Linked DNA regions of Schizosaccharomyces pombe. The protein of the gene in region 2 purifies or fractionates together with the protein of the main gene of each other region. This does not show direct contact. Each region holds a gene or a part of one and is shown on either strand. Other genes may lie near its edges.

Region 1 (9,285 bases), on a different chromosome or scaffold from region 2:
TTACTCTATCGACGCTGGGCTGGCTCGATTGATCATATTCATTAAATCCAGCGCCTCCTCCCATTCCTGGAGAAAAAGCGCTATTGAAGTCGGGACCATAGCCCGGCTTGCCAAAAGCATCATAAGCCATGAGCACGTATTATCTCAAATTATGAAAGTTTGTTAGGGTGAATTAAAGAGCGATGAAAAAGCAAATCAACCACTTAAAAATATATCTGCGATCTTTTAGAGAGTGATTTTTAAATAATTGAATATAAAGTTACAGCTGATTCCACGAGTAGTCTACTTTTCAGTGGTGTGTTTAGTACAAGTTACGAGTCGCGTTTCGCGGTGGTGTACCGAAAAGAATAAAATCAAGCAAGCGTGCTTATATACTACAATGTAATAAAATTAACTGTTTTATTTAGAAAACCATCTTACATCTACTTTTTTTCTCTATAACCGTATAGTTTTCAATACAAAAACCTACTAATCACGGGATGCTCAATTGACTTAAAACGCTTAAAGCAATCAGATACTGTGCTACCATTCTGCTTTACCAAATGTAAAGAAAAACTAAAAAATACATTATTAAATTTGTAAACATTAACACATTCATATGTAACAAGAAGGCATGGAACAAATGTCCGACGCAATTTTACAAATCGTATAGGAAGAAAAGCGATTTATCCACAACAAAAGAATAGCTAATGGTGAATGACTATTCGCACATCGACATATACAAAATAAGAACATAAACGTATTGCTATGCACAATCCATCCATTTTATGTATTGAGGAAATATAGTATTGGGGACATAAATTTTGAATATAGTTTTGAAGACAGATGCTTAATGCAAGCAGTAAAATGTAAGAGCATCTGAAAAATGAAAACGAGTGAATGATAGTTGGTAAAGCTGAACATAAACATTCTATATAAGGAAGAATTGTTTAGGCGACTAAGCGTTCCAAAAATGAATTCCCCGAGATGAATAGAAAACTGTCATAGACACAGTACATATATATACATCGATAATTGTGAGCGGCCTTATCAATTTGAAGCAGCCAAGCTTTAAACCATCTTCCAATCCGAGCCTTTTGCCAAGTTAAGTAGTGCCAAAATTTAATACTTCGAAATAAATTCTGGGAAGCGAAAATTAAAGTATGACATATATTAGAGGTGATGCAAAAATGGGAGATATTAAAATATTAGTTGGTTTACCACAGTTGTTTCCATTCACATTCCATTGTCATTCACTGGATGGCTTTAACAAAAAAGGAAGACATATGAATGCAAAGGCTATGAGAAAATTTTAAGAAGTAAAGTGATAATAAAATCGTCATAAAAAGAAATTATAATACAAGAAGAGGAGCTTGTGAGACTTCACCATAAACAAAAATAAAAAGAACAAATCCTTCTATTTTTCCTCACCAAATTTACCCCGCCACCATTTTAAAGTCAACTCCTTTATTTGATCCCAATAACTTTTACTCGAATCTCTTTCCTTCAAATACGTGTAGCCACGATAACAAATCCAAATAAAATCTGACAAGGCAATAAAGATGGCAACGAAGTTGTCTGCAAAGACTGCAACAAATGCGAATCGTTTGCATGAACCAGAGCAGTGCAACGGTTGGGCAAGTATAACGATAATCTGTATTTGAGGGAGAATCCACATAAAGATAAAAATTGCAGGATAAGCAAACAAAAACTTAGACTGACTTAAAATGCGTTTCCGTTGTTTAAGGAGGGGATCATCTTGCATATCATTTCCATATGCAGCCAAAACACTAGAAGCACCATCTTCGTCACTAGTCAATGGACTACTGAGTTTAAAACTCGTGTGATCTTCAAGGCCATTTGTGCGATTTGGACTATCCCTAAAATCCTGTTCGAAATGTATTCCTGATTGATTTAGATTAGCAGGAGTAGACTGCGAACCAGGAGGCAAATTAGGATGCACAGAGGATAGTAACGGTCTCGAATAGGGAGAAGGTTGAGACTGCGAGGAGTAAATGGATTGAGAATTAGATGGAGTATATGTTAAAGTACTGTTGGTGTCGGGAAATGGTGGAAGAGCTACTTGATCCGGAGCGGTAGGATACGAATCAATGACATTTAAAGTATCAAACACATTTGTTTGTTGATGTGAGTATTTCTTGAAACGTTTGATTTTCCTTCTGATCGAGATGAACATGCAAGTTTGTAAAGCAATAATTGCAATACTTAGCGCATAATCAAATGACCAATTCAAACCAAACATGAATCGTACAGGGGTATAGGGAAGGTAGCATCGGGTTTGTAAATTGACAAATGTATTTCTTTTATTGGTAAAAGCAAGTCCGCCAATAGTTAAAGGAATTACAAATGACAGTGTAAACACAGTATGCCGAAAACGATATAGACCCCTTCGTTCAGTATCAACATGGGGGAAAAGCACCAAAAGAGCATTATGCAATATGTTGATAAAAATCCAATAATCAGTCATCCGAACAAGTACCAAAAGAAAAAATCCAATTGTAAAGCATCGATGTTTTGGAGCCCAAAAAAAAGGATCGCTTAATGCTAGACATGGATGAATCATTTGCACAATGGAACGAATAAACAATACAGAAAAAAGAGCGATATGAAATTGTTCACGTATTGTTCGCCGACGAGACCATCGCCAGAAGATAGCAATTAAGCTGAAAACGATAGATATGGCTGAAGCTATAATGACCATGATTCTCAGGTTAGCTAACTCTCTGCGAGAGACAATGATGATGGAACTCGTACTCGTGGCATCGGAAACATTAAACGTATAATCTAAATGAAGCATGAGCAACCTTGTTCCTTATTACAAAGTTTAAACTTCTCTTCAAGAAGACAGGAAAAAAAAAGAGAGGAGAGGAGGTGAGAAAGTAAAAAACAAGAAAAGCAATATCAGAACGAAAAACAAAAAAAAAGACAAAAAAAAAAGGAATACTCCAAAGACAAATCTATGACTTCAGAAATGTTCAAATAGACAAACAAGAAAGCAAAACAGAATTTTCAGCCACTTGGGTAATCAGTCCTATTACCCTTAAGAAGTGCAAAAAATAGTATATCTCGTATATCCAATTACCCAAGATTGCATATCTGACCCTCGATTTTCTATAAATTGCTTCGTTCGCGAATATAAACAGTCTCTTCAAGTTGATGTAAAAAACTTAGCAAACTGGCAATATAGAAGGAGCTCTCTAAACTAAACGAGTTTGTTTCGAATATGAATTTGAATTCCCGTACTTTTATTTTTGTTTCTGTTTTCTTTTTTCCAAAAACAAGCTTCTCGTCTTTACTTTTCAATTAACTCAACTATTCTTTCGAAAGTTGTAGACACACGATTAAACTGTTAAAGGTAAAAGTTGAAATAGTAAATCTACTGCTTTTTCCTTTAATCGTGGCCGACGAAGCAGCTCAAAAGTGATAAACGAATGCAACCAGGAAAGCCGGACGCAAAACGGTGCCGACGATTATTAATAAAGCGCAGTCCCGTCTCGACACTCTTGGCAAGAAGAAAAGCGCAATTGACGTGAACAACCAACGATGTATTGTGCTTATAAAGAAAGCACTAGTGAAGTCACTTAGAGCTCAAAGCCACTTATGCACGTTTTGCAAGGCTCTTAATAGCGTGGCGAACCTTCTTAAGGATATTGAAGAATAGGGAAATCGGAGGCGGTATGGCTTGCAATTAACGCCGTACAGTGAATAAAGCGGTACTAAATCAAATCGGTGAAATTTACCGATAATTAAGGAAAAGACAAATCAATTGAAGGCGCCGTGGTTTGGGTTGGCTGATGGAGTTGGCTTGATTATAAGTAATGATGGCGGAGAGTTGCCGCCTTTGCTGTTGTGTATGAGTGTGTAGTGAATATGCACAAATATACCTCAACGACTAATGGATAAGGTGTTATAGCAAGTACAGTAGTTAAGTACCAATGCGGGATTTTTCTGAAAAAATATGCAAGCACACGGGCTTGACAGAAACACAAGAGGAGACAAATAAACCAAAGTCTCCGCACCTTAAGTCCACAGAAGAAGAATAAAAAAAAAGATCGCAATTGAATTATGTGAGGGGGCCCAGGCGTCAATAGTACAGAGTCGATTGACTAAGTAGATTTAAGATCACAAGCTGTAGAGCAAATCAGAAATTTGCACCTACGCAGAGACAATGAACAATTGTAATTTCAGAAAAAAAAATATCGACAACGATTCAAATTCCGAGTAATTTTCTAGCAAGACTATTGAAGAAAAAATTTCCCTAATCCCTTGATGAGCCTTGTCGCACTAACACAATATCGGCGATGCTTTCACACTCCTAGATGTGCTACCACCAACCATTATAACTTATGAAAAAAATTTGTAGTATCGCTGTAAACGAAATTTTTGTGTAAGAATGACGAGAGTTGTTTTTGCACAGACAAACGAGGTTCGGACGATCGGCCTATTTTTTAAGTACGATAGTGATTAGTATAGTATATCGTGAGGAGCAAATACAATCGCATAAAAAAAATCAGGGTGAAAAGAATCATTTCAGAGTGCGTTAATGAGAAAGTCCTCGTTATAAAAGAAAAAAAGGAACCGATGATTTAAAGTTATTGATGGTTTTAAAAAACAGCGTTTATTTTTACAGTGTTTAAAGTCAAGTCAATATTAGGCACAAGAAGAGGTCACACTTTATTTTCAAAAGAAAATGGATGAAATGCAACTCCATGCGTTGCGATAAGCGTTAAACACCAATCTAGGAAGCAGTCCCTCAACAGAAATGAAGCGAAAATCGAATGATGGTGAGAATAGAATAATAAAACGAGCCCCGGTAAATTGAAAGTTGATAGAATCAAGTTTCAATTAGGGGTAATGAAAACGTGCTTAAAAATAGGGAGTAATGTTGTAGTTACCAAAATGAACAATTCGGACCAGACCAATAAATATTGTCGAAATAAAACAAGGAGTGTTAAATTTTATTATTATGTCTTTATTCTCCTTGGAAACCGGTTCGTCCACGTGAAGAGAATTCTATTAGCATTGTCGAAACCGTTTGATCCGGTTATGCCTTCATATCTTTGAAAACATTTCCGCCAATTCCACCAAGTGAAAATCACAATATCGTTAGTCGGTATTGTCTTTAGGTTTACTAGCGGGGGCGTTTTTGTTTTGAGGAAAAAAGAATATTCTCTGGTTTCCATCTACCTTAAGTGCCGATTAGGCAGATAAGCTAGATTAAGTGAAATGGGAAACGGGATTCATTTTCCATTGACAACACTTTTAAACATTATTTGATAATTCGCATGCAACCCTTCAAAGTCGATTCGACATTTTAAGGTTTACTTCACGGACATTGAAATCATTGTGAAGCTTTGTAGACTGTTGTCTCTCTCGGAAGTACCCAAAAAAAAAAAAAAAATCCTTTTTACACTCATAACGTTCTAGCTGTTTCATCCCTTTAAAAAATATCATGTTTTTTTTTTGGTGCTCGGAACATTTACTTTCTCCACTTGGTTCGTCTATTTTTGAAGTTAAACTAACTATTTGACCATTTTCGTACTTAATGTCATGAACTCCTCTCGTGGATTGTTAAGTCAATTATCAAAACCAACCACCAACTCAATTTTAACCGTTGTAACCTGACCCATTATTAACACTAGTATTCATGCTGTACTTGCGGCAATTCCCCCATCAAAAAGTTTTCAGAGTTGTCTTTTGATACCGATTATGTGTCGTGGTGGAGGCTTACACCCCAAGGATCGGAACGGGATCTTCTCAATTTGATTTTAATGCTCTGCATGGACAAGCCTAAGGGAAAAGAGTCATGCAACAAGTAGAGAAATTTATTTCAACATTGTTGTGTTGGCGGTTTCTGTTTGCTAATCCTCAGCAACGATCATATGCAGTTGAGATCTCGACCAACTTTTCGTTAAATAATGTCAAAATTTGCAACAAATGTTTTATCACGGTACTCGAAGAATGTGAACTTAATGAAGTTTCTCATTTGGTTGCCAAATTGTGGTCACACATCAATTTTGTCGAAATAACCATTCCGATCCTGATTTCGTTCCATTTTTACTACTTTTTTAAATTTGGGATTAAGTTGAATTGGTCTGTCTTCCTACATCTTGTTCCATACCCGTTCCAAACTTTGACATAATTGGATGAAGCTGTCTTGTTTTAGATAGAATAATACCTTGGAGCGTAATTGCTTTTCCTCTTCAGTAAGTTCTGTTGGTAGGATTTGTGAAGTCGTTGGGGGTGATGGAATCAAATTTGCGTATGCTTGGTTCTCCGGTTGAGCAACCCACGAAGCCTGTGTCTGAGAGTTCAGCGGCGTAGCAGCAATAATGGGGTATTGTGAGTTTGCACCGTAAGAGTAGGCATTACGATTGGGATTAAAAGGTGATGAAGTTATCACCACGTTTTCATCCCAAGTGGGTTGTTGTGACGCAGTAATACTTTCAATTGATGTATCACTTCGAAGGGGCATTTGGGTCATGCCCGCATCCCCGCGGAATCGCTTAAGCGGTGGTGTATTGGAGAAGATTTCAGCATTTGGCATGACATGCTGCAGTGGTGCTGGATTGACATAGTTTGTGCTATTGTTCACAGCAGTTGTTGCTGTTTGGGTCATGGGGATATAACTCGGTTGTAATAAAAGATTTGGCTGTTGCGCCGATGACTTGTTATATGCATTGTTCATCAACGAAAGTTCCTGTGAGTTATTAGATTGACTTTGGGAGTTATTGAATTGCTTCTTCTCAGAGGAAGACTTTGCATCTTTGAACACCAGGCCTAGCTTCTCAAATTCAACTTTGGCTTTCATATAATGCACGTCAGATGGGAATTTCACTTGAAATCTTTTCATCACCTAAATTTATTAACAACAAAATACGCTTCATCAACACTCCATTTTTTTTTTTAAAAAAAGAGGCCTCAATGTGATTTTGAATAAATCTGCTTTTGTTTTACTTACATTATTAGTGAAAGCACGAATATTCATACACGGAGCGCGTGAAAGCAGAGTTAGACATTTTTCCTTCGTTCCCGGTATCAATTGGTGCCAGAGATCTAACAAGTTTATACTTTGCTGTTTGTTTGTTAAAAATATTGAATTTTTCTAGCAATATGGTTTCATGTCGCGTACAATTAATTCTTCGTGTTGACGAATTTGAAGCAATCCAGACGTTAATGAGAGTGTAAAACCTCCATCTGAATAATGTGACCAGTTGATATGGGAGGAATCTGTAGTATACGAATCCTCAGCTACAGAGTACTTAACAATTGGGAAAATGTTCATGTTTGTTTATGTTTGAATATGAGAAGACGCGTTAGACTGAACCTCATTTATCTGATAACGCAGTACGTTCCGTCACGGTGTATTACTTTTGTTTACATTTATGAGTTGACCTGAAAACGACTAGACTTTATGGAATGTAAGTCTTGTTATCACAATATATTACATATGATTGTAATTTGCCATAAGGAAACTATTTCTTCAATCTGTATTGAGGAATATCTGATTGTTCATTAATTTCTCAAGTCTCTTCAAACAACAGTATTTTGAGAGAAAGGAAATTTTATGAGCAGTTTCTTCTTTTACTAATCAATCCCTTTAAAATATTTTTATGCCTTCATTTCATCCTTGGTATCTACACTTATATAAAAATTTTAGGCATATTTGCCTGTTAAAGGGAAACGCAAGATACGGACTTGCACTGCTTTTAAATTATGCGTTTTTTCCATCAGAATGATATTTTTTTTCCTTAATATTATATTTCATCCTTTCTCCATAGGTTGGAAGGGTTGGCGAACTGCTTTGCCAATACCCAGACTTTAGTAGTGTCGTTTGTATAATTAATGAAAACCTAAAATGTGGACATGGAGAAACCTGTTTTAAAATATTAACATGCTCTTTTCACAATAGAAACTACATAATCATTATTGTTTAATAAAAGTTAGCATAACCTGCGATTTTACAAAAAAAAAAGGTCTTTTAGTCAGAAAAAATGAAACTCTTTCTCGTTTCATAACAATTTTTTAGTTCTTTCTTCTATTTGAACAATATTTTTGGTTAAATGTGGAAACGTCAATTAAACACCGTATATGCTGATTTCATATTCTTCGCACTTCCACTGCCCAGGTTTACAAAAATTTCCAAACTCCGTGTTAACAGGAAATTTGGTGCTAAAATCATACCTCCATTAATAAATAACATTAGAAAATTATTTACCATGAGCTTTGATGCCGAAAAACAATTAGCTATTGCTGCTGTGCGCAGAGCTAGCTATTTGACCGAAAAAGTGTTTAATCAACTTATCAAGGAGAAGAGTGCTGCTGGGGCACTTACTAAAGATGATAAATCACCTGTGACTATTGGCGATTTTGGTGCTCAAGCTATCGTAATCTCTATGTTAAAAGATGCATTTCCCAATGATCCAATTGTTGGCGAAGAGGATTCCGACTTTTTGAGAGAAAACACCCAAACCTGCTCTCGTGTTTGGGAATTAGTTCAAGAAACTATCCAACATGCTACTGAATACAAAGAGCTTGGTCAAATCAAGTCAGCTGAAGAAATGATGAGCATTATTGACCAAGGATCATATCACGGTGGTCGCAATGGTCGTATGTGGACTTTGGATCCCATTGATGGAACTAAAGGATTTCTACGTGGTGCCCAGTATGCTATTTGTTTAGCTTTGATTGAGAATGGAAAACCTGTGGTAAGTGCCATTGGATGCCCTAATCTTCCATATGACTTTAATCAGCCCGAGACAAGTCCCAAAGGTATCATAATGTCCGCTGTTCGTAACCATGGTTGCTTCCAGTATTCTCTCCATAACGAAAAATTAGAACCAGTTCAAGTGCACATGCAAGATGTTCAAAACACCAAGGATTCAAAATTTTGCGAAGGAGTAGAGGCTGGTCATTCAATGCAAGGAACTCAAGAAGAAATTGCAAAGTACTTAGGGATTACTCGTGGACCTACCAAGATGGATTCTCAAGCCAAATACGCTAGTCTTGCTCGTGGTGATGGTGACATCTACCTTCGTTTACCAACCAAAATGACATTTGAAGAAAAAATTTGGGATCATGCTGGTGGTTCTCTTCTTGTTGAAGAGGCTGGTGGTGTTGTTTCTGATATGTTTGGCAAACCTTTGGACTTTGGTGTAGGAAGAACTCTTAAGAACAATAACGGTGTTATAGCCGCCTACAAAGGTATTTTTGAAAAGGTAATTGAAGCTACTGCAGCTGTAACATCTAAAGACCCTCACTTTCAAAAGGTCGCCCAATAATCTG
Region 2 (12,488 bases):
TTAGTTGCGACCACAACCTTTCTAACACCTGGCTCGGCGGAATCAAAAATTTTTGCTTGTAAATCCGCAGGCATTTGTGAGTAGATAGGCAAAATGGACAAGCGTGGTGCATCATGCAACTGATTTAACCTATCTGCAATGATCTCGCATGTAGCTTCAATATCTTCCTGCCCTGTCATAAAAACTAAGATATCACCTGCAGGCTGAGAGAGGTGAATCTGCAATACCTGTCGTACAGCTGCTTCAACGTAATCAGAGCAAGGGGCTTTAGCAAACATAATATCCACCGGGTAAGTACGACCTGGAATTGTAAACTGTGGGGCGCCTCCAAAAAAATCAGAGAATTTCTGGGAATTCATAGTAGCGGATGTAACGAGCAACTTGATATCTCTTCTCCTGGATAACACCTTTTTTAGTAAACCCATTAAAATATCTGTATTAAGGGATCGCTCATGTGCTTCATCCATTATAATGACGCTATATTTTTCTAGATTATTTTGCATCAAGGATTCTCTTAGTAAAACACCGTCAGTCATGTACTTAATTACGGTATCCGGTCCAGTAACATCTTCGAAACGAATTGAATAACCAACTGTTGAACCTAGACGAACACCCATTTCCTCACTAACCCTTTTTGCAACTGACATGGCGGCGACACGACGAGGTTGAGTACACCCTATCATGCCATTTCTATGATAGCCATCCTCATATAAGAATTGAGCTAATTGGGTAGTTTTACCAGAACCAGTCTCACCAACTACAATAAGAACTTGGTTATCACGTATAACAGAAAGAAGCTGTTCACGCACGGCAAAGGCAGGTAGGAACTCTCTTTGTTCTCTATATGATTTCGTGCGAGCGAACTCAGTATCCTTCTTATTCGACTGTTCAGAACGTCCAGCTACTTTAACAGGTGTGGTACCGGCCTTGGCATCTTCATCATTAGAATCTTTGAGACCCATCACGTTACCCAAAGATGTACCAGCAAGGGATGTAGCAGCACTTGCTGCTTTTTGACGCTCCCGAAATTCTCTTCGTTCACGTACAAGACGAGATCCTAATCTAGCATTTATTGCAAGGTCGCTTTGTGGATCTCGAACCGATGTAATATCACCGACTTTCTTAGAAGAAAATTCGGCCCCATCCAAAAAATGAGGACGCAGTTCATCGACAAGCAAGTGAACACGCCTCTCTTCCATAAGGGAGTAATCAGATTCGAGCCCTGGAGCTTTTGAAACACCAGATGTGATCATTCTATTTTTTTCCCACATAGAATTTTCTTTAAATCTGTCTGATGCTTCAATTGACAAATGCTTTTTCTGCTTTTCGATAAACTCAGCTTCATGTGCACGATCTTCGACAGTTTCAAAATCGGAGAATGGATTGTGAACTTCATCGCCAAGTAAATTTTGCGACTCGGAATTCATGTACCAATCACGATCCAAGTGAGCTTGCTCCTCTTCCCAACGTTGACGATCAGCTTTACTCTCGGGATCTTCTTCGGGGTACTCAACGTCGCGGGCATCCCAAGAGCTGTGTGCACCATAAGAATAATCACTATCGTGCGAATATTTAGAGCTATCGACGTCTCTTCGAGAACCATTACCAAACCGATTTCTGCGTTTTGAGGATAAAGGTTCTTCCATTTGAGTTCGATACCGCCGACGATTAGATCCATTGGAAGACTCGAAATTACTTCCAGACCAGCTAGAATAAGAATTTCTACGATATTTATCATCTTCACTTTCAAACTCTTGATGATCGTCAACAGATGACCGTTGACGAAGGGGACGAAAATGTTTTTCATGTGGATTTTTAGGTCTCTTAAATTCCACCCTGTCATAGTTTCCTATAGACTCCAAGGAATCATTTTCTACTTGGGATAATTCAGAGCGCCCTTCTACTTGAGATTTCTCTTTCTTTTTTTGAACAGCAAGAACATCCAATCCAAGCTGGGATTTTTTGGGTTCTCGGCCTTTCAAACCAGAACGATTAGACAAAACTAATCCAGCTACCTGAGACCCATCATTCCCAGGAAGTTTATCTTTAGAAATCCCCAAATTTGTCTCTAAACCAATTATAGATTTGCATAAATCGTAAATAAGGACGCTGTCATTATCGGAAAATCGTCCAAATGTATGTAATGCATTAGAAAACTCGGTGCTGGACGAGCTACCCTTGGCAATTGTCAAAACTCGACTGGCAAGCGATGTAGCTGCATCTTTACTGGACATATAATCAGTTAATTTATCTATTAACTTCGTAAATAGCAAATCATTTTGATTATGTGAAAGCATACCTACTAAATCAATAAGGTTGCTGGCGGAAGGCGAACTTACTCAGACCCTCCGGCCCCCCAAAGGTGCAAAATCATGAACCTGAGTAATTGACAATTAACAATTTATCAGTACTTCAATGTTTAAATAAAAATTGTCATATGAATTAAAAGAATTGTTAGGCAAAATTTACCAAGTAACGGTAAACCCAATATACACTTAATGCATACATTTGCTACTCCACTAATGTGGATGAATTTACTAAAGTTTAAAGACCATCATACACCAAATCAAATGAAATTTATTGTAACTAACCTGATCCCTTTTTTCCAAATATTGAATTATGCAAAAAATCCTCTATACAATTAGTGAGCCCTTTAAACCCATGAAGCGGCCTCTTAGGAGAGTTTTTGAAAACATGAAGCTATAATCTTAAAATAAATCAAGAGAATTAGGACATCTCAGCATCTTGATCATCATCGTCTTCTATATCTTCATAGTCATCATCATCAGAAGAGTCCTCCCCGGCACCTCTGTCTTCTAACTGAACGATGCGCTCTTTTTTAGTAACTTCCTCAGTAACTCTACTTTCAAACGCTTTTCGAACACCAGGATTAGTTGCAGTGTCCCAGACACGAACGACTCCTTTGCTTCCGGAGGCAGCTAGATGGAAAGCAGTTGATTCGTCCGTAGTAAAGGAGCAAGTAAACACACGTCCAACATCCAAATCTCTAGAAACAACCATCTTCGGTGAACTATCGGAAGTGTTCCAGAGTTTAACCACTCTATCAGTGGAGCCTGTGGCTACAAAAGAAGGAACCGAAGGATTAACACTGAGACAAGAAATAGGTCCATCATGGGCTTGCAATTGCCAAACGGACTTTGAGAGATTTCTAGCATCGCAATAATAAACTATGCCATTATCAGTGCCAATGAAAAAGTTGTTTTCGCTATGTTGATCCCAGGCAACATTTTCAACATCGCTAGTAACTTGAAAACTCGATGGAGCTTCTTCAAGGCGAAGGTCAGCTATTTTTGCAGTTTTATCATAACTACCTGACAATAATACGGATGGAGCTTTGGAATACCAATCTAAGCAAGAAACTTTGTCAGAATGATACGTGAAAGATTTGACACAATTGCATGTGCTCAAATCCCACAACTTTAGTGTGGTATCTGCAGAACCAGAAACCAAAAGATTGTGAGCATTTCGGTTCGAAGAAAGAGCAAGAACAGCATCTGTGTGATAACTATCATTTATTTTTTTAGACTTCTTCTTTTTCTTGTTGACTTGAGAGGCACCTGCACCCAACACGGCTGCAGGGTAAACTGCATCAATGATGTCTAAATCCCATATTTCAATTTCAGGATCAAACGTGCCGACAGCAACGTAATTTCCAGGAGCGTTGTCAGACGTACCCACCTTATAATCTAGCCATTCGAGACACAGAGGAAAGGTAGGGAGAAGAAAATCATGATGCACGTAAAGATTTTCCTCTGTTGGCTCATATACATACACTTCAACGTGGGACAAGTTATCTTCTGTGCGCGCAGCTAGCAAAAGGCTGTCTGTTGGTAATATTTGCATTTCCTCTCTTTCCAAATCGTCCTGTTCCTGAGGATCAATAGTGATATATGGATCTTTTTCTCCATTTTCATGGTAAGCCAATCCACGAATGTTGCTAAACATAGCAGCGGGCCCTTCTGTCTCAGCTTCCTCCTCATCGTCATCGTAAGTATCCAAATTGTATACTTTCAATTCATCATCTACCTCTTCACTTGTTTGCAACACCCCTTCTGCTCCATCTGTAGTTTCTTCACCGTTCCCATTGGCTTTATTTGAGTCTTCCATAGAAGATTGGAGATCAGCTCGAGCATCCTCGAGCTTTAACTTTGAAAGCTGATTAATTCGCTCATACTCTATCTCATCAATATCGTAACTCTTGGGAAACTCTGATGCATAACCGCGAGGAACAAAAGCCACAGACGAGACTATTGACATGTTGCACCTCTCTTAATATTTACTCCGCAAATCTTTACTTTAATGTTTAAACCAGAAAACACACCACTCTTGATCTAAACGAGATTAAAAATTTAAAGATTAAGTAAATGTCAACGTATTGATACGAGTAAATAATGGCATAAATCGTGCACCGCTACTTGGGAAAAGAAGAACTGAAAATATTCGTGTCTTACAAAAAACGTTATTTAACCGTTTAGCGTAAACCTGCGTTAAATTAGATTTCAAAACTTAAGAAAACATTTTTCTTCGACCAAAAGGCCATAACGTTCATGTAGATAAACTAAATGCGTTAACTTAATTTACGTCAACAAGTATTTTTACTCATCGTAAATTCAAGTTAATGTCAGTTACGCAATTTGGTATCTGTTTAATGATACATTGAACTACGGCGAGTATTTCTTACGAGCTACGATGTAACGGTATGCGGTATGTTAAACTAACTAACATGTAAGCTACGCAGTTTGGTATCTGATTTAAGGATACGTAGAACTGCGGTGAGTTTTCCTTGTGATCTATTATATTACAATACACAGGTTGTATAAGTAGCAACTGAGAATAGGTATTGTATTAACTGGGTTATAATGTTACCTATCACTAATATAGCTCATAACTGAACCTCGTTCCTCAGTTCAGCAGTAGCTCTATTTATATTATTCAGATAATATAGATCTTAATAGATCATCATTAAGATCAATCTCAATATCGTATCATACATGGTACGATATATAATTAGAACATGTGACATATAGTGATACGCAAGTAGTGTATCATAGCGTAGTGTAGTATTGCTGACATAACAATATTTATTTGAGAAATCTAATAGCATCGGTCACTAAATTTTTTAGTCTTTCTAATATTTGTATTTGTTCTCACTGGTGTCTAAGTAAAATTAATGGATCTTAAAATTTGTTTCCAACATATAAAATCAGTCGCACGCAACACAGTGTAAACACTTCTAACAGTACGTTGCATAAGAATACTAAGTTGAGTGAATTAAAAGGGCGGTAACAATATGAGTGTCAGAAGCATCACATTAAGATGGAGTTTGGAATTTTTGGTTTTTACTTAACTTTTAAATGATTTCAAGATTGAATAAACACAAAACAATACTTTGAATTTTATTAATTAATTTTATTGAATTTTTATATGGAGAAAAATTGCAATACTAGCTTCGTTAGAAAGTTTGTACGATAAATGCTACGGACGTATATTTGTGTATTGCCTGCTGTTTTCGTTTAATGTTGCAAAGAACACAAGTCAACTAATTTGCCGCAGCTCTAACTGCTGTAATCTATAAAGTTCGCTATACAACAAACGAACACAAGGAAACAAATAGTCACCTATAATTTTCTCTTCTTAAATTAGTCTTAATTTTTGGACTGAAACTTAAACAGTAAAACGAATAGCTTATAATATGAAAAGTTGTTTTAGAAGGGCAAAATGTTAGAAAAAGTTATCGATTACACAACAATAGGAAACTACCCTTTTACTATGATTTTGAGCAAAACCAGTAAACCAATCCATAAATCACAATATGTAGCTTTATTCATGCTTTTATCTTTTTTTTTTAACGAAAGCTTATGTTTAATAAGCTCGACTCTCGTATAGTTGATAAAAGCCGTCACGTTGTTTCGAAGCTATAAATTTGGCAAACCGCTAAACGTACGTAGTGCCATCAACGCTGAAAACAGCTATATTAGTGCATATAGATAATTTCGTAAAAATCTTTGAAGTTTTTTAAAAAGGACTGTCTATAAAAAATTTCAACTAGGTAGGTATTCAAAAATGAAAGAAACTGAAAATTCCTTGAATTCTATTGTGATGACAAAAGAAGAAGCTTAACATTTTATATAGGAAGTGCCGTCTGAGAGTTCTGCTCGGTGACCAAGCTAATTCATTCTGAGAAATCTTTGTAAACTCAAGGGGTTTTAGTATTCAATCATTTGGGCTTTCATAAGTCTATCAACAGTTTTTGCTCATTGCATACTAACAGCGTTTAGGCAAGTTTAATATGTGCTGAAAGTGAATATATTGCATCGCTCACTATGAAAAAACGGTTTGATTGGTGTTTAATTTTAATTGATATCATAGAAAAGCTTTTAAATGAGGCTGATCTAAGTATTTTAATAATCGTCATCTGCTAAGAAATCAATAGCCAGTACTCGCTTTTTCGTTGTTGTATTACTTCTGGGCATAGTTTGATTTTGTACTGTTCGTGTTTGTTTAGTAGTCATATAACGCTTTTTCAGCTCTGCATCTAGCTTTTTAGTGATTATAGTCATCTGGCTTGTGCAATCAGCTAGTGTTTTTGTATTACTGTTCTGTTCTTTTTGTAAAGCTTCAAATTTCAAATTCATATCTGACATGGTCTGTTCCAACTTATTGATACGACTGGCATAATCTTGAATCCCTAAGGCCACTTGCTGCATAGACATGTTTATTTGATTCAAAGATTGTAGTACTATTAAGTCAGACTTCCAACCACTTGGGAAATTCTAAATCTCACTTACCTAGTTGAGAATTTTGTTGTTGGACTTCACTAATAGATCGTCCTAGTTGACCGATCGTTTGATTAACTACCTCTTGTTTGGTATTCATTTCAGCCAAACAACTAGCAATTTGATTGCTCTGTGACTTTTGATGCTGTTGCATATCTTCGGCTTGCATTGCCAACTTGCGAGACCATAATTGAGCAGCTGAAACTGAATAACTCATTATTTAATGATCGTTTCCGTTAAAATTCCCGTAACGCTTAATTGCAGGTTTGGTTAAAGGGAATGTTCGTTTTCACTAGAAAAAAGTCGAGACACGCGACGCGACACCAACTAACTTCAGGTTGAATTAATGGATAATTACTCAGTATATTGGATGCCCATTCATACTATTAAAATTAAATTGAAAAATATAAAATAAAATAAAATAAATCATAACCTAAAAATACTTTGTCAAATTTAGTACCAAACACAAATTTTATTTTAAGCCGAATCCTTAATTAGGTATACGTAAAAAGGAAACCCCTTTCAAAGTCTAACTCCCCGAACACGAACAGCATCGGCATGCGCAGTGAGACCCTCCAACTCAGCAAGACGAATAACAGTAGGGCCCAACCGCTGGATTCCTTCTTCAGTGAGCTCTTGGGTAGTGATATATTTTAAGAAGCTATCGGTACTAACGCCAGAATAAGAAGAGGCGTACCCGTATGTAGGAAGCGTATGGTTGGTACCAGACGCATAGTCACCCATACTTACAGGTGACCAAGGACCAACGAAAACGCTACCAGCATTATCTATTTTGGGAATGTATGAAGAAGCATTTTTTAAGTGCAAGACCAAGTGCTCAGGACCATACAAATTAGACCATTCAAAAGCTTGATCAACATTGTCAACCTGTACAATAACCGACTTCTTGATAGCATGTTTGATGATATACGAACGAGAAAGTCGTAAAGCGTGATCATTAATTGCTTTTTGAATACGGTCAAACATTTCGGGAGATAGAGAGACAGTCAGCAAAATGATCTGACTGTCCAAACCATGCTCTGCTTGAGACAATAAATCCAAGGCAACACTTTCAGGATTACAGGTCTCATCTGCTATTACCAAAACTTCTGAGGGACCAGCAGGAAGATCAATAGCAACTAAAGCCCCGTAATCATTCTGAACATGCATCTTTGCAGCTGTAACAAATTGATTTCCAGGGCCAAAAATTTTGTTAACTTTAGGAACACCGGATATTCCATATGCCATGGCCGCAATTGCTTGCGCCCCGCCTGCCAAAATAATAGCCTCAGCACCAATTTTATTTGCAATATATACAATTTCAGGCGCAACCGTACCATCCTTTCGGACTGGCGTAGAAATCACTACATGAGGACAGCCAGCTACCTTCGCCGGAACTCCAAGCATCAAAGCAGTAGATGGCAACACTGCAGTTCCTCCAGGGATATAAAGACCAACTCGGTTAATAGGACGAGACATCCGTTGACAGACTACACCACGCATGGTTTGAACAGCAATTGTAGGACGCAGCTGTGATGAATGGAAAGCAAAAATATTGTTAAAAGCAATATCAATATCCTCTTTAATCATTGGGGATATTTTCATTAAGTCGTCGTCAAACGGAGCCTTTAAGACAGCCGACTTCAATTGAACCTTTTCAAATTTGGAAGCATAATCTATTAGAGAAGCTTCTCCTCTTGATTTAACATCCTCGATTATCGGTTGGACAATCGTACGAATTTTTTGAGTGTTCTGAATGGGTCTTGCAAGTAATCGTGTACGTTCTTCGGCGGTTAATGCAGCAGCTCTATAAGAAGGCACCTGAATCTCGTATTCCGGCATTATTAAGTAAATTAAAGGTAGTCAAGTCTAAATCGACTCTCTAAAAATTTAATGCAATGTTGGCTAAGGAATGGCTGGATCGGTGAATACTCGATTTCCCTTACAGCAAAGATCTAAATTTGATATGTCTTCGGATAAACCGCGGTTGCAACTTTTTATCCGCGGTAATAGAATTAACAAAGATCGAGAGAAACAAAAAAAAATTTATTAAATAATCGTAGTTGTATTATTAAAATTAATCTAAAACGTTTCATCTTCATTGGCATTACAATCTTTAGTATAGTGAAGAATCCACGAAAGCACTTCTTTATGCCAACGTAGGGAATTATCAGGTTTAATGACCCAATGGTTTTCGTCTTCAAAGACTAGTAATCTGCTAGGAATTCCCTTGTACTGCAAAACATTGAATGCGGCTATTCCTTCACTTTCGGTAAGCCTGTAATCCTTTGAGCTATGAATTACAAGTTCAGGAGTGGCCCAATAATTCACAAAATTTGAAGGATTCCAGCGCTCATAGATAACTCTGTTTTCCCAAGGAGTACCCCCAAAATCGTGAATAGAAAAATAAAGTTCTTCAGTATTGTAAAAAGTATTGAGGGTATTAAATACCCCGTCATGACATACAAGTGCACGAAATTGACGACCTAAAGGGTGTCCTTGAATCCAATTAATCATGTAACCACCATAGGAAGCACCTAAGGCAACCATTTTTTCAGAATCAGCATAGGAAAGATGATTTTTTATGTACTCAACACCAAGTTCAATATCTTTATATGGCTTACCACCCCAATCAAGAGCAATGGAATCGGTAAAACGTTGTCCATAACCTGTAGATCCAGTAGGATCAAGAGCAAATACAATAAAACCAGCATTAGCAAAAACTGCAGGATTCCAGCGCGTTGACCAACTATCTGTCCAAGAACCTTGAGGTCCCCCGTGTATAAGCACTGCTACAGGATATTTTTTAGATTTATCAAAACTTTCGGGCTTTACAATCCATGCATGAATTCTGTGACCATGAGTGCCAGGAAACCAAATTTCTTCATAAGAAGTTGGCGATAATCCGACATTGTTCTCGAGTAAAACACTTTCGTTTAACGTTTCAACGTTAATCTTTGCGTAATAAGGGGGATTGATTAAAGATGACTTCGTAAGCCATAAGGAAGAAGATTTAGGGACACTAATAGAAGAAACAGAGTGTTCTTCTGTCATTGGGATAACTTGGTGGTGAAATATAGAAACAAAAAACAAAATTTGCTTCCCATAATTCTCAGCAATAGCAAAAAGACCTGGTTCGCCTCCTTTGAAAACCCCCCATTCAATGCTGGAAGGCGATCGGTCCCAATGACGAGCAATGTGCTTTTTAGCGCCTGACTCGGACTCATATACCATTATTTGATTTTGATCGCTTTCGTACTGTGGTGTTTGCATTTCAAGCCATGCAATATGATTTCCATCTTTGGCTAGTCTTGGTGAAGAGCATGCACCCTTCGCAGTGCTCAATGACTTCAGATTCCGAGTGTTCAGATTAATCTCGTAAACAACTGTCTTTGTTTGTGTTGCCGGATTTAATTTCGGGTCTTTTGCTACAAAGACAAGTTTGTCGTAGTTAGAATCAAAGTCAGAAAGACCTCCGAAGGGTTCGACAGGAGATTCCAAGCCAGTTTCCTTCAACAAATCAATAGCTTTTTCTGAGGAAATTTCAAAATAATTTGAGTTTTCCGTTTTTTTATCTAGCTCTATAAAATAAAGGGTATTCCTAGATCCTGTGTTCCATCTATCCCAGTGTCGAACAAACAAGTGATCGTATACGTGAACATTTGAAGGTCCCTTAACTAACGAATTATCCACTGAACTAAAAACGATTCTATAGTGGTTGTTCTTTTCTCCGATCCTTATATCAGATATTGAAGAGTTATGATTATATATGATACGCTCTGATCGATTGTTAACGTCAAAAAGAAGGATACTCGATGAGCTAGAATTATCTTCTCTTGCATATAAAAAAGCTGAATCAGTAATCCATGTGAGCGCTTTGTTTGATTTGCCGTGTACTAAAAGCTCTTGATGGTTTCTAGTGCTTTCATTCAAAAGGTAAATTCCAGAGTTATATTTGTGATCAGCAAAGGAATAATTCGATTCTATAAATATTCCAAGATTCCCTAAAGGATTGCTAACTACTGCTGACCTTCTAGGAGCTTCTAGCATGGATTCCGCATCAAATGCAGCCTTGTCAGCTGCAGTTAGCGTCATTACCAGGAAAAAAACTAGCTGCTTGAAAAGACTATGCATCCAAAAAAATATATTCTTTGACCAGAGTGAGGTGAATTCTAAGGAATTTGCATGAAGGGGAAAGGAAATTTATCTTGCAAAGATTACCAACCCATCTGACGAAGATATGATTATATATGATGACTTTATAAACTCCCAGCATAGTGTTAGCGTGCAGCCCTTTGTAAAGCGTTGGGCTGCGTTTGTACTGATAGGTGATGGTTTAAATTCATGTTACAATAATAACAATTTCTTTATTATTGAATATTTCTAAAACAATTTTCATCAGTATATTTAACTTGAAATACCAAGACATCTCAACAAAACATGTTATTGGGCAAATAGTCATAGTGAATATCTGCTAACTTATAATCTTTATCCTATTAATGTCAGTTATGGTAAATCTCTGATAATATTTGTTTAAATAGACATCATTTTATAGTCTTATAAAAATTTTACAGATCTTCAACTTCTACCGAATAATGAGAATTGAAGAACTTTAATGAACCCATCAGTTATTTCTAAAAAGTATTGTAGTGTGTGAAGTCCTCATCAAAAATGCAAAATTCAAACCACTCAATTGAAATTACTTGTATTATTATATAGATCAATCATGTTTGAGAAGCATAGTTTGAGATATAAATCACTGTCATCCTTCGGACGGAGATGACTATAATCTTATAAAATTAAAGCAGAACAGGGAAATGCATATACTTAAAAAAAGGCACAGAAGATTTTATTGTTAGTACAAAACCTATACTGTTGATAATCCCTCTTTACTGAGCTATATTTTTTTAAAGCTCAGAACAAAATAAAATCTATGCACAACAGAAAGAAGTAAGTACGAAGGAGACATCATCCATTCCTTTAGCAAAGAAAGAAACAATTCCACGTTGGGAAGTTTAAAGTTGTCTAAGAATTATAGAAATGTCATTACATTTTTGCATTCCTTGTACTTTAATTTGAGAACATGAGCAAATTTAACGAAAATTAATAAGTCATGTTTTCGACTGCATAAAAAAGTAATAAATTAATCTCAGATTCGTAAATTTTCATTAATATTAGTTCAAGTCGCATAAAAAATATCGTAAACATCACACATTGTAAAACAAACGTTAAAGCATCATACGCCAAGTTATAAAACACTTACTTAAAAACTCAAAAGCCTCTATACAGTAGTAGGTTAATAACGAGGAACTATTATTCCTTCACGGCATGCTGCTCAAGAATACCAGAAAAATATTCCACATGACAATCGCAAACCATTTGTAATGTCTTACGCATTTCAACATCGATACGTTCGCGTAGAAAATTTAACTCTTGCTCAAGTTTTTCGTTGAAAATGCATAATTCTTGAAACGATAATTGAAGCAACTCCATGGGATTAGCATCGTCTTGACCTAATGAGTACCGCTTTTTTTTAAAAAATTTTGGAATACTGAATAAACTCGAGGTACGTATAGTAGTGTTGGGCGACGGTTTAAGCTCAGGTGTCTGCTGCACAACGGGAGTGGCTTCTACAAAGTTTGGGTCAGATCGTGATGATTGATCAGGGTTATTAGAGTTAGATTGAACGAT

What was found.
Region 1: the proteins of rec15 (region 2) and rec7 purify together in Schizosaccharomyces pombe (affinity purification with western blotting; one study listed by BioGRID). This does not show direct contact.

Annotation. Positions count from the first base shown.
Region 1 is NC_003421.2:1,541,785-1,551,069, forward strand, and holds rec7 (meiotic recombination protein Rec7), read right to left. Parts: upstream 7,286-9,285; coding exon 7,133-7,285; exon of another isoform or gene 7,076-7,132; coding exon 6,962-7,075; exon of another isoform or gene 6,857-6,961; coding exon 6,104-6,856; 3' UTR 5,267-6,103; downstream 1-5,266. Other genes in the region: single-stranded DNA-binding protein Ssb2, read right to left, coding at 5-130; G-protein-coupled receptor Git3, read right to left, coding at 1,397-2,797; tol1 (3'(2'),5'-bisphosphate nucleotidase/inositol-1,4-bisphosphate 1-phosphatase), read left to right, coding at 8,220-9,281. UniProt on the Schizosaccharomyces pombe protein: May be involved primarily in the early steps of meiotic recombination.
Region 2 is NC_003423.3:2,156,068-2,168,555, reverse strand, and holds rec15 (meiotic recombination protein Rec15), read right to left. Parts: upstream 7,070-12,488; 5' UTR 7,015-7,069; coding exon 6,810-7,014; exon of another isoform or gene 6,761-6,809; coding exon 6,423-6,760; downstream 1-6,422. Other genes in the region: ATP-dependent RNA helicase Prp16, read right to left, coding at 1-2,297; pwp1 (WD repeat protein), read right to left, coding at 2,728-4,278; SPOM_SPBC1711.15C (uncharacterized protein), read left to right, coding at 6,345-6,443; histidinol dehydrogenase His2, read right to left, coding at 7,320-8,639; ppp16 (acylpeptide hydrolase), read right to left, coding at 8,880-10,931; atg2402 (autophagy associated protein), read right to left, coding at 12,111-12,488. UniProt on the Schizosaccharomyces pombe protein: Required during the early stages of meiosis for meiotic recombination.